Linked DNA regions of Stegostoma tigrinum. The protein of the gene in region 2 purifies or fractionates together with the protein of the main gene of each other region. This does not show direct contact. Links are inferred from orthologs where the notes say so. Each region holds a gene or a part of one and is shown on either strand. Other genes may lie near its edges.

Region 1 (7,248 bases), on a different chromosome or scaffold from region 2:
TGTTCAGCCTCTCCCTACAGTTCAAACCCTCCAACGTTGGTAACATCCTTGTAAATCTTTTCTGAACCCTTTCAAGTTTCACAACATCCTTCACAAAGCAGGGAGACCAGAATAGCGCACAGTATTCTACAAGTGACCTAACCAATGTCCTGTACAGCCACATGACCTCCCAAATCCTACACTCAATGCACTGACCAATAAAGGCAAGCATATCAAACACGTTCTTCACTACCCCGTCAACCTGCACTTTCAAGGAAATATGAACCTGCACTCTAAGGTCTCTCCGTTCAGCAACACTCCCCAGGACCTTACCATTAAGTGGATAAATCTGCCCTGATTTGCCTTTCTAAAATGCAGCACCTCACATTTATCTAAATTAACTCCATCTGCCATTCCATCAGATCGAGGTCCCGTTGTACTCTGACACCACCAATCTGCAAACTTGTGAAGCATACCTCCCATGTTCACATCCAAATCATTTATATAAATGACAAAAGCAGTGGACCCAAAACCGATCTTTTTGGTATGCCGCTGGTTACAGGCGTCCTGTCTGAAAAACAACCCTTCTCCACCACCCTGTCTCCTACTTTTGAGCTAGTTCTAAGTTAGCAGTTATCAATCAAAATGCCTGGCTGGTACATTATAAATTGATCATCTGTGTTCTTGTGCTCAATGGCAGCAAGCACAATGGTGCACCAACGTTGCGTTAAAGAGCATTACAATGGAAATTATGGTGGCCACTTCCAACCAAACTGGAACCAGAGGGAAAGCATCACGTTTATATAATCAGTACCTTGGCAGAAAACAGCTGCTTTCAGATGGGGAAGTAGGAAGACAAGCAGATAGTCACCAGTGCATACCCAGACCAATATTCAAGACAAACATCAATACAAGTCTCCTCAAAAGTGAGAAAAGGCAGACTGTTATAATGCCTTTCCAAAATAATCACTGACTCAAATTCATTGAATCCCTACACCATGGCAATAGGCCATTCAGCCCATCAAGCCCACACCGACCCTCCAAACAACATTCCACCCCGACCAACACCCACCCCCCCCAACCCCCCGCCTACCCTAGCCCTGTTACCCTGCATTTCCCATGGCTAATCCACCTAGCTTGCACATCCCTGGACGCTATAGACTTTTTTTTTTAAATAATCAAACCACCTAATCCACACATCTTTGGACTGTGGGAAGAAACCAGGGCACCCAGGAGGAAACCCACACAGACACAGGAAGAATGTGCAAACTCCACACAGTCACCCAAGGCTGGAATTGAACCCGAATCTCTGGTACCGTGAGGCAGCAGTGTTAACTAGTAAGGCATCGTGCTGCCCACAGCAGGCCATTCGGCCCATTGAACTTGCTTTATCATCTAATAAATTATGTCTGATCTGATTGTAACCTCAAATCTGAATTCCAGCCTGCCTTACTTTTCACACCCTTAGCAAGAATCTGTCTTGCTCTGCCTTATAAATATTCATCCTTTCAGGAAGAGCAGTCCAAAAATTCCCAACCACGACAGGTAAAAATATTGACCAACCAGCATTTTAAATCAATTCTCAATTTTTAAACAGTAGACCCTAGTTCCAGATTCTCTCCTAAGAGGAAATATCCTCTCCACATTTACCCTGCCAAATCCCCTCAGGCTTTAGCATGTTTCAATCATTAACAAGGTATCATTAAATAAACACTCACTCTGAAGGCATTTCAAAACACTTGAGTGTTAGAAGTCACACGACACCAAATTATAGTCCAACAGGTTTATTTGAAATCACAAACATTCAGAGTGCAGACCCTTCATCAGGAGCAGACAAAGAGTGTTGACAGTGAGGAAACATAAATGGATCAGGATCAAGACGAAAGAGACAGCAAAGTGAAGAAGAGGATAACTCCAGGAGTTTGTGCAGTTGGGGGGAGGGGGTAATCTGCTCATATTAAACTCAAGTACATTTACATGAAAATTAGTAAATATTTATTTAAGCAATCTAATGTGCAATAAAAAACAAAAATAGCTGAGAAATAAGACAAAGGCAGCTGATTTATTACAGTTCCAATAAACTTTCAGTTGTATAATTCCATACCATCAGGAGCTGAGAACAAAACAAAATGCAAAAGTTCATGTTTTGGATACAAGGTTTGAAATTTGTAATATCATTATTTCACAAAAGGATTAGTAAAAATATTTTAAATTCCTTATTAGCATGACAACTACAAAGATCAGATCAGTTTAACTGACAGAAGTTTTGCTGAATGCCAGTAAATAATGTAATATAGTGGTAAAAGAATCCTACTTCAAAACAAGCGTCCATAAAATAATATTAATGAGACTCGGCGAAAAGTTCGCCCTCATTTGAGGGCTTTTATCAGTCATGTAACACCAGTGAGAAGAAACTTCTTTTTATATAAAAAAAAAGTTGCTTGCTTTAAAGATCGATTTTGCAAATCTTATTAAAATCAAGCAGGTAAACAAAAGAAAAAGCAGGCGAATAGGAAGTGCTCTAACAATAAACAGACCACTGTAGCAGTAAAGGTGCATTATTTTCCCAACAGAGACATAACGAAGTGGTTGGGGAGAACAGTGAGAGGGAATAATGTGAAGAGAGCACGGCGGTGCTTCCCAGCCCATCCGGCACAACCCCCACCGCCGCCACTTGTTTACACGATCTACTCTCTGGCCTCGACAAGCCCTGGGCCTGTACACTTCCCAGAGCTGAGCTCTCTCCTAAACTCGGCGACATTAACTGCAGGCAGGGAAAAAGGGCGATGAGCCGGCCTGTTGATATCACCATCCCCAGGCCTTGGATTGAAAGGCGGCCTCAGTAACACCGACCCCCCCCCCCAACAGCCTCCTTCAAACAACAGACTGACAGCTCCGCCACCACAGGCACCCTCGCCGACTTCTCCAAACTCTTCTCCCCAACCATCGTAAGGCTCCGGGGAGGGACCAGCCCGGAGCGCGCAGCGGCTCAGACACCAACACAACTCCGCACCTACCTTTGCCTTTACTTTTGCGCCATCTTGGATCCACTTGTCAGCGTCCCCCGAGGCATTGTGGGAAGCTGGCCCACTGCGCCTGCGCGAGTATTTCCAGGGGAGCGCACCGTTGAGAATGTTCCACCACAGCAGTATCAGGTGAGGGGTTGGAACAGGCGAAGAGCTGCAGCAGTAGTTAAGGGATGGGAACAGCATTTAAAAGGTTAGAACAGGTGAGAGGCTGGAGGAGTGGGCGATGTGTTGGAGGGGCAGGCGGAGGGTTGGAGCAGGCGACGGCGTTGAGGGGCAGGTAGAGGGTTGGCGCAGGCGACGGGTTGGGGGGGGCAGGTAGAGGGTTGGAGGGGCAGGGAGAGGGTTGGAGCAGGCGACGGGTTGGGGGGGGCAGGTAGAGGGTTGGAGGGGCAGGGAGAGGGTTGGAGGAGGCGACGGGTTGGAGGGGCAGGGAGAGGGTTGGAGCAGGCGACGGGATGGAGGAGCAGGGAGAGGGTTGGAGCAGGCGACGCGTTGGAGGAGCAGGGAGAGGGTTGGAGCAGGTGACGGTTTGGGGGGGCGGGCGACGGGTTGGGGGGGCAGGGAGAGGGTTGGAGCAGGCGACGGGTTGGAGGGGCAGGGAGAGGGTTGGAGCAGGCGACGGGTTGGAGGGGCAGGGAGAGGGTTGGAGCAGGCGACGGGTTGGAGGGGCAGGGAGAGGGTTGGAGCAGGCGACGGGTTGGAGGGGCAGGTAGAGGGTTGGAGCAGGCGACGGGTTGGAGGGGCAGGGAGAGGGTTGGAGCAGGCGACGGGTTGGAGGGGCAGGGAGAGGGTTGGAGCAGGCGACGGGTTGGAGGGGCAGGTAGAGGGTTGGAGCAGGCGACGGGTTGGAGGGGCAGGGAGAGGGTTGGAGCAGGCGACGGGTTTGGCGGGCAGGTGGAGGGTTGGCGCAGGCGACGGGTTGGAGGGGCAGGTAGTGGGTTGGCGCAGGCGACGGGTTGGGGGGGCAGGCGACGGGTTGGGGGGGCAGGCGACGGGTTGGGGGGGCAGGTAGAGGGTTGGGGGGGCAGGTAGAGGGTTGGAGGGGGCGACGGGTTGGAGGGGCAGGGACAGGGTTGGAGCAGGCGACGGGTTGGAGGAGCAGGGACAGGGTTGGGGGAGCAGGCGACGGGTTGGAGGGGCAGGCGACGGGTTTGAGGGGCAGGCGACGGGTTTGAGGGGCAGGCGACGGGTTTGAGGGGCAGGCGACGGGTTTGAGGGGCAGGCGACGGGTTTGAGGGGCAGGCGACGGGTTTGAGGGGCAGGCGACGGGTTTGAGGGGCAGGCGACGGGTTTGAGGGGCAGGCGACGGGTTTGAGGGGCAGGCGACGGGTTTGAGGGGCAGGCGACGGGTTTGAGGGGCAGGCGACGGGATGGAGGGGCAGGCGACGGGATGGAGGGGCAGGTAGAGGTTTGGAGCTGGCGACGGGTTGGAGGGGCAGGCGACGGGTTGGAGGGGCAGGCGGGAAAGGGTTGGGGGAGCAGGCGACGGGTTGGAGGGGCAGGCGGGAAAGGGTTGGGGGAGCAGGCGACGGGTTGGAGGGGCAGGCGACGGGTTGGAGGGGCAGGGAGAGGGTTGGGGCAGGCGACGGGTTGGAGGGGCAGGGAGAGGGTTGGAGCAGGCGACGGGATGGAGCAGGGGCCGGGTTGGGGGAGCATTTAAAAGGTTGGAGCAGATGAGGGGCTGAAGTGGTAGGTGAAGGGTAGTATTTGCAGGCTGGAGCAGAAATAGCTGAGACAGTGAAGAGATACATGAAGGGTGGCAGGGGCTGCTCTACTTCCAACATCTTTCTCTGACTTGCTCCAACCTCAATCAATTAAAATGTGACTTTTTAAAAGAAAATTCTACATTGGATATCAAGAATACTGACTAGGTATGTGCCCATCCTTTCTAGTCCGTGAGAAGGTGGTGGTGAGTTGATTTTGTTTTCAATCTCTGTAGTCCTTGAGGTGTATCGACCCCCACCCAGTGCTGTTAGGGAGACAGTATATATTTGAAAGTAATGAATTTCGAGGGTGCTGGAGAATGGGTTTTTTTTTCAGAATTGAATTTCTATGGTTCCAGGACTTTAACGTAGTGATGCTTAAAGATACATTTTCAAGCCAGGACAGTTTATTTCTTGGAGGGTAATTTGCAGATAAAGGTCTCCCGTTTGTAGGATTCTTTCAAAGGTGCCTTGCAATGAATCTTTAGTACACGCTGTTTTGGTTGTGAAGGGAGTTAATTTATGTATATCCATACATGATTAAGTCAAATTATGTATTTCCAACAATTTGAAATAACATAACTTGCCTGCTTTTCTGCTGGAAATCTTATCACAATACATTCAAATTTAGGGATCTCTGATGAAGGGTCTAGGCCCGAAACATCAGCTTTTGTGCTCCTGAGATGCTACTTGGCTTGCTGTGTTCATCCAGCCTCCCACTTTGTTATCTTGGATTCTCCAGCATCTGCAGTTCCCATTGTCATCGAGTTCAATGAATACAGCTTTTGTGATGCTCAAGAAGTTTTGCTCAAATCGAGTTTACAATCTTAACTTTTATTACATGGCAGATGGCCATAACTTAAATCACTCTGCTTCATCATGTACTGTAGGGTGGTAATTGACAAATAGACAGGAAATCAGGACCGTTTCTGCAAAATGTAACAAAGCATGCATTTGTGCCACGCATCACTGAGGTTCCATCAGTTGTGATGGAAACCAGTTTCTTGATGAGAATGTTTTTCTCACACACCTGCCTTTTGAATTTGTTATAGATATCCTCACCCCTTGTCCCATCTTTAAAGGGGAAAAGCGTGAGCAGTTTAGTTAATATTCCTTAAGAAGCATACGCACAAGAACAATCAACTGGGCTGTGCCAGCCATGTCAGCGGATTCGGAAGTGTTCACATTCCTTCAAGACCTGCTGTACTTGTTGATAGACCTCTTCAGACAAAGGTTCCACTTGTTTTGCTATGGTATAAGCATCAAGTAACCTGCTCCATATTGTTGTTATTATTTTTTCTTTGTTCTTAAGGTCTATAAATAATAATCGGTGGCCCGAGTTGTTGATTCTTTAATTACTTTGGCATCTGTGAATAATTTCTTGTGTTTTGCCAGAAGATGGGGAAATGTGAAAAGAATGCTTCAATGCAAACCTTCCTTTTTGCTGCTTATTTAGAAAAACTAGGTAATGTTTTCTTCACTAGACCAAAACATTAACTCTGATTTCTCTTCACACATGCTGTTAGACCAGTTGAGCTTTTCCACCAACTTCTGCTTTAGTTTCCGATTTACAGCACCTGTAGTTCTCAAGTTTTTTTATTCAATGTTATCTTTTAGCAACATTGGTCAGGGTGCTTGGGAGAATGCCCTTGTTCTTTTTTAAAAAATAGCATCATGAAGTTTCTTATGTCCGCCAATCTGTTACATGTAGGCCTATGTTAATATTCAACAGGCAGCATCTTCGAAAAATGAAGTGTCTTATTAGGTTTTTGTGCTCAAGTCTCTGGAGAGGGACATGAAGCCCTAACTGATGACTTACAGTTGAGAGAGATATCAACAATAATTACAATAAGTAATATTACCACTTTTACATGTGTTTCCTTGATGATTTGCTCACACACAAACACCATTCTGCAATGGTATAAATGACACCACAAACAGTGATCCCAATGGTCTTACATCAGCAAACTTAATCTCAAGTCTCATGAAATGGCCTAGAATGATGTAGGGTAATGGTTCAAGTTAATAGGGTATAATTTTCTACAGTTGTATACCATGCTGCATAATGTTGGTAAGCCATTTTAATAGCCGCAACTCTGGAAAATTTATCGCCAATGTGTCCTTTGGCTAAGATAACAAAGTGTGGGGAAAATTTTTCTGATGAAGGGTCCAGGCCCGAAACGTCAGCTTTTGTGCTCCTGAGATGCTGCTTGGCCTGCTGTGTTCATCCAGCCTCACATTTTATTATCTTGGAATTCTCCAGCATCTGCAGTTCCCATTATCTCTGTCCTTTTGGCTCTGTTAGGTCTAAAGAGCTCTAAAGTAACAAGACTCTGGAACAAGAATAACAGGAGCCTTGTCATATTGTTTTATGGAGGTAACAGTGCCACCCTGAGGAAGAAAATTATTTAAAACAAAATTAATATAATTAGTTTAGACGCATCTACAAATCAATAGTTTGTTTATTTATATTACCAGCTGTTAAAAACAAACAAAGTATTTAAGAAAACTAAATTGACATTAACAACTGTGATAAT
Region 2 (7,556 bases):
CCAAGAAATTTGCTTTCATCTCAAACTTTAAGTCAGAAATATTCTCCCATTCTGCAACTGCCAATTTTTTCTAGGCTCCTCCACAAGGTAAAACAATTTCAATGTTACCTTCCAAGCCCCGAGGTACTTTTCAACAAGATTACTCATTCTTCTCAACTGAGGTCAAAGGCCTAACCTTTCCTCAAATCAACCGCTCATTCTGAACTGCCTCTAATGCAAGCATGTCCCGTTGTAATTAAAGCTCAAACTATAAATTGTACTCCAACACCCTGTGCAACTTCCCACAATTAGTTGCTGCTTCTACATTCTAACAGTTGAAATTCATACAAGTAGCTACGCAGATTTGTGTATCATATTCAATTTTCTGCTTTCCTATTCTTCCCGGCAAGTGGATAATCTTATTGTCTCCCACACTTATGCCAAAATATCAACCATTCATTCATACTAATTAAATGGCTTTGCAAACTGTATCCTCACAACCAGCTTCCTTACCTATAGAGTCAGCAAGTTTGGCTATAATAAACAAACACATCCTAGTGCCCAACCAGTAAAAGGGGCTGACCTTATCTCGCTTCTTAAAAGCAAAGTCTCATTCATATGATAAATTTCCAGACTGGTGGCCCTGCTATTTTTGCTGTTCAATTAAATATTAAGCAACTCAAGAAATACCAAACACTGTTGAACTCAATGTTCAGCCATTTATATTCACGCTCACATCTCCTTTCTATTATGTAGTAACCATACTCATGTTATTTCAAATGGTGTAACTAAGAAGTCTACAACTGAATTGAGCAAAGGATAAACACAGTTCATTCATTTATCACTGTAAATTAAGCATATAATTTAGAACTTAACTGTGTGCTATACTTGTCTAGCCATTGCATTTAAACTATCGATACGAACTTGCTACCATTTCAGAAAACCCTCCAGCCACATCTCGAACAAAATAATCACTACCAGTTCATGTGTTCAGTTTGGGTGGAAAGGTAAAACACAACATTCAGACCAGCTGCCAGGCAGTCAACTTCTTGAGAATTAACTTCTTTCTGTACGTAAGTAGGAATGCAATTAAATACATGGGAATTTCAAAGCAAAAGACGTACTGTAGATTCCTTAAGTTCACAATTATCATTTGAATAGAATTGACAATGAGATATTCAATGTTTCAGCTTCTGCTGCCTGAGAATTTTGCACATGAATGCCAAATACGTAATAACAAAGTGAGATATTTTTCCCCTACATAGTGTAATAGCCATGCTTGGAAAAGTAATTGTGTCTGAGTTACCTGGATGGTGTATTTGCAAACACCTAATGTGTTCCACAGTTTTACAGTTTTGTCACGGGAACCAGACACAATTTGGCGATTATCAGCTGAAAAGGCAACACTCAGTACGTCCTTGGTGTGACCTACAAATCGACGTGTAGTCGATCCCCTGGAAGAGGAATTGTATTAATCATCCCAACAAGTAGTGAAAGAAACGACTGCAAATAATCAAGCAAAAATGTCTATTAATTTCTTTGGAACAAGTACCATTAAAAACATTTAAAATGCACCCGCAACAAATTATTCCACTCTTATTAAAAATCTGATTGTAGGCAATAAATTATTTGCATTCTTACATTGTCAAATCCCAAAGTCGTAGAGTTCCATCCCAGGAACCAGAAAGGGCAAACTGACCATCAGAAGAAATGACTACATCACTAATAAAGTGAGAGTGGCCACTGAGGGAACGCTGTGGGACACCATAGCTGGTCTCATCCCTAGTTAGCTTCCACATGATAATTGTTTTATCTGTAAGCAGAAATAAGCTTTTAGAACACTGCATTTAGATTAAGGTCACAGTTTGCTATATGAAAAGTTACTTTCCAGTTAGGGTATGAACTGATGTAATACATTTAAGTTTTCTAAAAACCAAATAGCTCACTTTTGCTCAAAATTAGAAACAAAACTAGTAATATTCCTGCAAGATTCCTTGGGGCATTTTACTTTAAGTGTGATAAAGTAATGCAAGTTATTTTAGGTCTGGAAACGTGGCATTTCAGATTTCAATACTTTCAAAGATTAATTTGAAACATACTTTTCTTCTATAAATGTTATTTGCCCAAAGAATAGAATTGAAAAGAATACATTAACGGGGTGCTCTCTCCACACTCCACCAGTTTCTGTTTTAGACTTCCCACATCCACAGATGTTTTGCCTGTGCAATGTCCCTTTACATCAGAAATAAGACAACACTCAATTTGTTACTCATTCTGCAAGCATTGGCATATTTGTAAGTATAAATTAATGCACCGGCAGTAAACCACTTTAACTCGTTAAAGCCCACAGGTCGGTAATTAACCTCAAGTTATTGAACTCTTAAAAAAGTGATATCCCCTGGCTATCAAAAATCTTGAAAGGCGGAGCAGACTCGAAGGCCCGGACGGCCTACTCCTCTTCCTAGTTCGTATGTTCCGTGTTCTAACGTTTCAGTTTTAGCCTCCTGATGGACACACAACGTGGTTCTGCAGCATTCGAGCTTGTGTGTCAGCAGCAGTGACTCGTTGCAATCGACTGAGAGCCGGGCCTAATAAGCAACGGAGGGCCGTAAAACTATCTACGTGTAAACCGTGAAGAAGTCCGGCTACAGACAACTCGAAAAGTTAACATAACGGGACTAAAAGAGAAACAGGCATTCATGATAAAACATACGGCCGAGAAACGGCTGCTCGGTCCGCCTTTGGCGGCGGATAGAGCCCGCACCCCGGTCCTCTTCCCTCCCCCTCCACGAAGAGTACCTCGGGACGCGGACAGAATCATGTCAGGAAACTGCGGGGTTGTGGCAATTTGTGTCACCCAGCCACTGTGGCCTTTTAGGGTGCCACGAAGGGTCATCTGCTCCGTCATTTTGAGTGGAGATGGGGCGTCCTATAGACGGATGAAAACGGATTGCAGCAGAGGACTCAGCCTCAGAACAACGCGCGTCCACCGGGCCGCAGAGAAAAAGGAAGCGCTCCGTAACAGGCCCGGACATGACGTCAATGGCGAGGAGAGGGCTGGGTGATTTTGATGGTGGCGCCGTCTCCTTGGTGACGTTTAACTTGATGTTGCCGGTTGGAGCTGCAAACTGTTTCGAAATAACAATTGTATACTTATAGCAAAATCAAGAACCTGATTGAAAGCAGCTAGCTGCCTCAGTCTGTTCTCAAATTATTCTGTCACACGGGAACTTACACCCGGAGGGAATGGATCCAACGATTCCAGTTACCCTTTCGACTGCTGGAAGTGTCAAAAGGCACTGACCAGCCAGCAGCAATCACTTGGAACTGTTGACCAAACAAGCAGTTGGCTGGGGACTGGAGCATTAAAAGATAATTTTGATAGCCACAAAATAGCAGAATCTAGCTGAATAGAAATTGCACATGGTAATTATTGACATATGAAGAAAGACTGAATCAACTTGGTTCGTACTCACTGGAATTTAGACGAATGACGGGGATCTCCTGGAAACATATAAAATTCCGTGGGAAGAATGTTCCTGATGTAGAGGAAGTCCAGAACTAAGGGTCACAATCTAAGAATAAGTAGTAGGCCATTCAGGACTGAGATGAGGAGGAATTTCTTCACTCAGAGAGTAGTGAATTTGTGGAATTCTCTACCTCAGAGAGTTGTGGGGCCACTTCATCAGATATATTCAAGTTGGAGCTGGACGTGGCCCTTATAACTTAAAGGGATCAATGGGTGTGGAGAGAAAGTGGAAACGGGATAATGAAATTGCATGATCAGCCATGATCATTTTGAATGGTGGTACAGGCTTGAAGGGCTGAATGACCTACTCCTGCACCTATTTTCTATGTTTCAATGTAATGTTTCATTTTGGTTGTACACTTGGCGATGTTCCTTGATAGTATGAAGCACCATAAATGCAAATGTAATTTTCTCCCTCCTGAAAAAAAGACAGGCTTGGAGACTGTGACTAACTCAAACACATTAAATGAAAAGCAGCAACGATCACATCAATTTTGTGCTGTGTACCACCTGAACTTTTTCACTCAATGCTAAGCAACCACTATTGATTATGTATGTCTGAAAAGGGTGCCATATCACGAGTGGATAGCTGCATTCAAAGCTAGTCTACACCACTTAAAGGGGAATATTTTGGCAATTATGTTAGTATGTTTACAGATGACACCAAAATGGGTGGTGTAGTGGACAGTGAAGAAGGTTATCTCAAAGGACAAGAAGGCCTTGATCACATGGGCCAAGAAATGGCTGATGAGGTTTAATTTGGATATGTTTTAGGTTTTGCATCTTGCTAAGGCAAACCAGGCCAAGACTTCTACAGCTGATGGCCGAACAGTGGTGAGTGCGCCGAACAAAGAGAACTAAGGGTGCAGGCGCATCCTTTTGGAAGTGGAGTCACAGGTAGACAGGATGGTGAAGAAGGTATTTGGCAAGCTTGCCTCCATTGGTCAATGCATCGAGTATAGAAGTTGGGACATCATATTGCATATAAAGTCATATAAAGTGAGGCTACTTTTAGAATACTGTGTTCAGTTGTGGCCTCCCTCCTGTAGGAAAGATATTAAACTTGAAAAGAGATAGTAGGAATTGCTGATGCTGGAGTCTGAGATGACAAGGTGTAGAGCTGGATGAACACAGCAGGCCAGACAGCATCAGAGGAGCAGGAAAGCTGACGTTTTGGGTCAGGAACCTTCTTCAGGAATGGGGGAGGGGAAGGGGGCTCTGAAAAAAATAGAGGGGGATGCGATGATAGAAGTTTGACAGAGGAGCAGATAGGTAGAGAGAAGACGGACAGGTCAAGGAGATGGGGATTAGGCCAGTAAAGGTGGGTGTAGGTGGGGATTTGGGATGGGGGTTGGTCAGTGAGGAGGGAGGGACGAGTACGTGGGAGGGAAGATGGACAGGTTAAGATGGTGGGGTGAGGCTATAGGTGCAATGTCCCCTCCACAGTGGTCAAGAACGCCCTTGACCACATCTCTCACGTTTCCCGCACCTCAGCCCTCACACCCCTTCCCCGCAATAACAACAAAGACAGAAATCTCCTTGTCCCCACATATCACCCCATCAACCTCTGGATTCAACACTTCATTCTCTACCACTTCCGCCACCTGCAATCTGACCCCACTACCAAGGACATATTTCCCTCCTCACCCTTATCTGCCTTCCAGAGGAACCGCTGTCTCCACGACTCCCTCATCCCCTCCACACTCCCCACTCACCCCAACACCCCTGGCACTTTTCCCTGCAACCGCAGGAAGTGCTATATCTCCCCCCTCACCTCCATCCCAGGCCGCAAGAAAACCTTCCACATTAAACAGATGCTCACCTGTACATTCACTAATGTCGTATACTATATCCACTGTTCCCGATCTGGCCTCCTCCACATCGGGGAAACCAAGCGGAGGTTTGGAGACCGCTTTGTGGAGCACCTACACTCAGTTCATGATAAGCGACAACACCCCAGTCGTGAACCACTTCAACTCCCCGTCCCACTCCTTGGATGACATGTCCATCCTGGGTCTTCTCCAGTGCCACAACAATGCCACCCGAAGGCTGGAGGAACAGCACCTCATATTGTGCTTGGGAACCCTGCAGCCCAATGGCCTCAATGTGGACTTTACAAGCTTCAAAACTGCCCCGCCCCGACCTCATCCCAAGACTAGCCCATCTCATCCCCGCCTCCTTGACCTCTCCATCTTTTCTTCCACCTATCCACTCCTCTCATCTCACTGACCAACCCCCACCCCCACTTCCTACCTACTAGCCTCATCCCCGCCTCCTTGACCTGTCCATCTTCCCTATCACCCACCCCCACCGACTAACCCCCATCCCAACTCCCTACCTACACTCACCTTTACTGGCTTCATCCCTGCCTCCTTGACCTGTCTGTTTTCTCTCCACCTATCTGCTCCTCTATCCACCTTCTATCATTGCCTCCCCGTCTCTCTATTTATTTCAGAGCCCCCTTCCCCGAAGAAAGGTCCAGACCCGAAACATCAGCTTTCCCACTCCTCTGATGCTGCCTGGCCTACTGTGTTCATCCAGCTCTACACCTCGTTATCTTAAACTTGAAAAGTTTCAGAACAGATTTATGAGAATGTTGCCAAGATTGGAATGTTTGAGTTATAGAGTGAGGCTGGAGCATCAGAGGCAGGGGTGACCTTATTGAGGTTTATAAAATCATGAGGGGCACGGATGGGGTGAATAGCCAAGGTCTTTTTGCTAGGGTAGTAGAGTTCATAACTAGAGGGCATGGATTCAAGGTGAGGGGGGCAAGATTTAAAAGGGATCTGAGGTGCAATTTCTTTCGTGCAGAGGTTAGTGCACTTATGGAACAACCTGCCAGTGGAAGTGGTGGAGGCAGATACAATTACAACAGTTAAAATGAATCTGGATGGCTGCATGAAATGGAAGCATTTAGAGGGATATAGGCCAAATACCTATATAATGGGATCAAATCAGTTTAGAATATCTAGTGAGAGCAGAGAAGTTGGACTGAAGGGTCTGTTTCCGTCTGTTTAACTCTATGACACTAAGTGAATATAATAACTGAAGAATGGCGCAACATACAAGAAATGGGCCTCCAAGGTTTTAGCTGATGCTCTGGAGGCCTTAGTGAATGAGGTAAACAGTAAGAAACATGATCTGTACCTGGAGGAAACCAAGAAATCATCTGCCACAAAAGATTATGGAAGCAGGTAGCTATGGCAGTCAATGCCAGTAATTAAGACCTAAAAGACCAGGAGGTAGGGCCATAAAAAAGTCAATGATTTTGTATGAGTCGTAAGATCAGTGAGTGTATTTTCAAATGCCACATCATACCAACAGGGTAACATGCAAGCAAAATGCCCCTGAGCAACAGGGTATGATGTGGGGCATTCAGCTTGTGTCATTGGGAGGGCTGAATGTTGTCTCACTGACACTTGAACCATTTGATTCACCTCATTTCCAAGTTAAACTAATTTGGCAATGTGAGGGAATCAAGAAAGAATAATTAAGGAAAATGTCAGACCTGCAAAACACTTTGAAAAAGCCTGGCACTAGCATTGTGAGTCACAAATAGGTGAATTTCAAGAAGTCGAGGAGAAAGGTAAGTCCAAAACAGAATAAATATGTATACATATAAGTGCATGAAGCATAATAAATAAGGTTGGGAAGTTACAGGTGAAGATTGCAACGTAGAATTATGATGTGGCAGTGATAGAAACTTGGTGGAAGGAAGCGTGAGGCTCGGTGTTAATTATTCCTGAATATAAGTTGTTCAGGAGAGGTGGAAAATAGGTAAAGGAGGAGTAATAGTAGTATCAGTTAAGGAGGTATTTCAGTCCTCGAGAAGGAAGATGTCTCAGAGGATTCAAGGACGGGCTCAATTTGGCTAGAGTTACAGAATAAAAATAGTACAATAACATTGTGCAGTGTAGTCTGCAGACCACCAAAAGTGGAAAGGATGTTGAGGAACAAATCTACAGAAAGATGCCAACATTATAGAGGAACTTCAGTCACCCACATATAGGCTGAATACTGGTAGTGTAAGGCACAACAAGGGTCAAAT

The links. Proteins that work in one complex are often made in the same cells at the same time.
Region 1: the proteins of rack1 (region 2) and helz purify together in Homo sapiens (affinity purification with mass spectrometry; 3 studies listed by BioGRID and IntAct, counting the BioPlex papers as one, with this or other methods). This does not show direct contact. The link is inferred for Stegostoma tigrinum from reciprocal best matches to the Homo sapiens genes RACK1 and HELZ.

Annotation. Positions count from the first base shown.
Region 1 is NC_081375.1:9,906,358-9,913,605, forward strand, and holds the start of helz (probable helicase with zinc finger domain), read right to left. Parts: upstream 3,044-7,248; 5' UTR 2,997-3,043; intron 1-2,996. UniProt on the Homo sapiens protein: May act as a helicase that plays a role in RNA metabolism in multiple tissues and organs within the developing embryo.
Region 2 is NC_081366.1:36,420,831-36,428,386, reverse strand, and holds the start of rack1 (small ribosomal subunit protein RACK1), read right to left. Parts: upstream 3,002-7,556; 5' UTR 2,888-3,001; coding exon 2,779-2,887; intron 1,793-2,778; coding exon 1,621-1,792; intron 1,434-1,620; coding exon 1,286-1,433; intron 1-1,285. UniProt on the Homo sapiens protein: Scaffolding protein involved in the recruitment, assembly and/or regulation of a variety of signaling molecules. Interacts with a wide variety of proteins and plays a role in many cellular processes.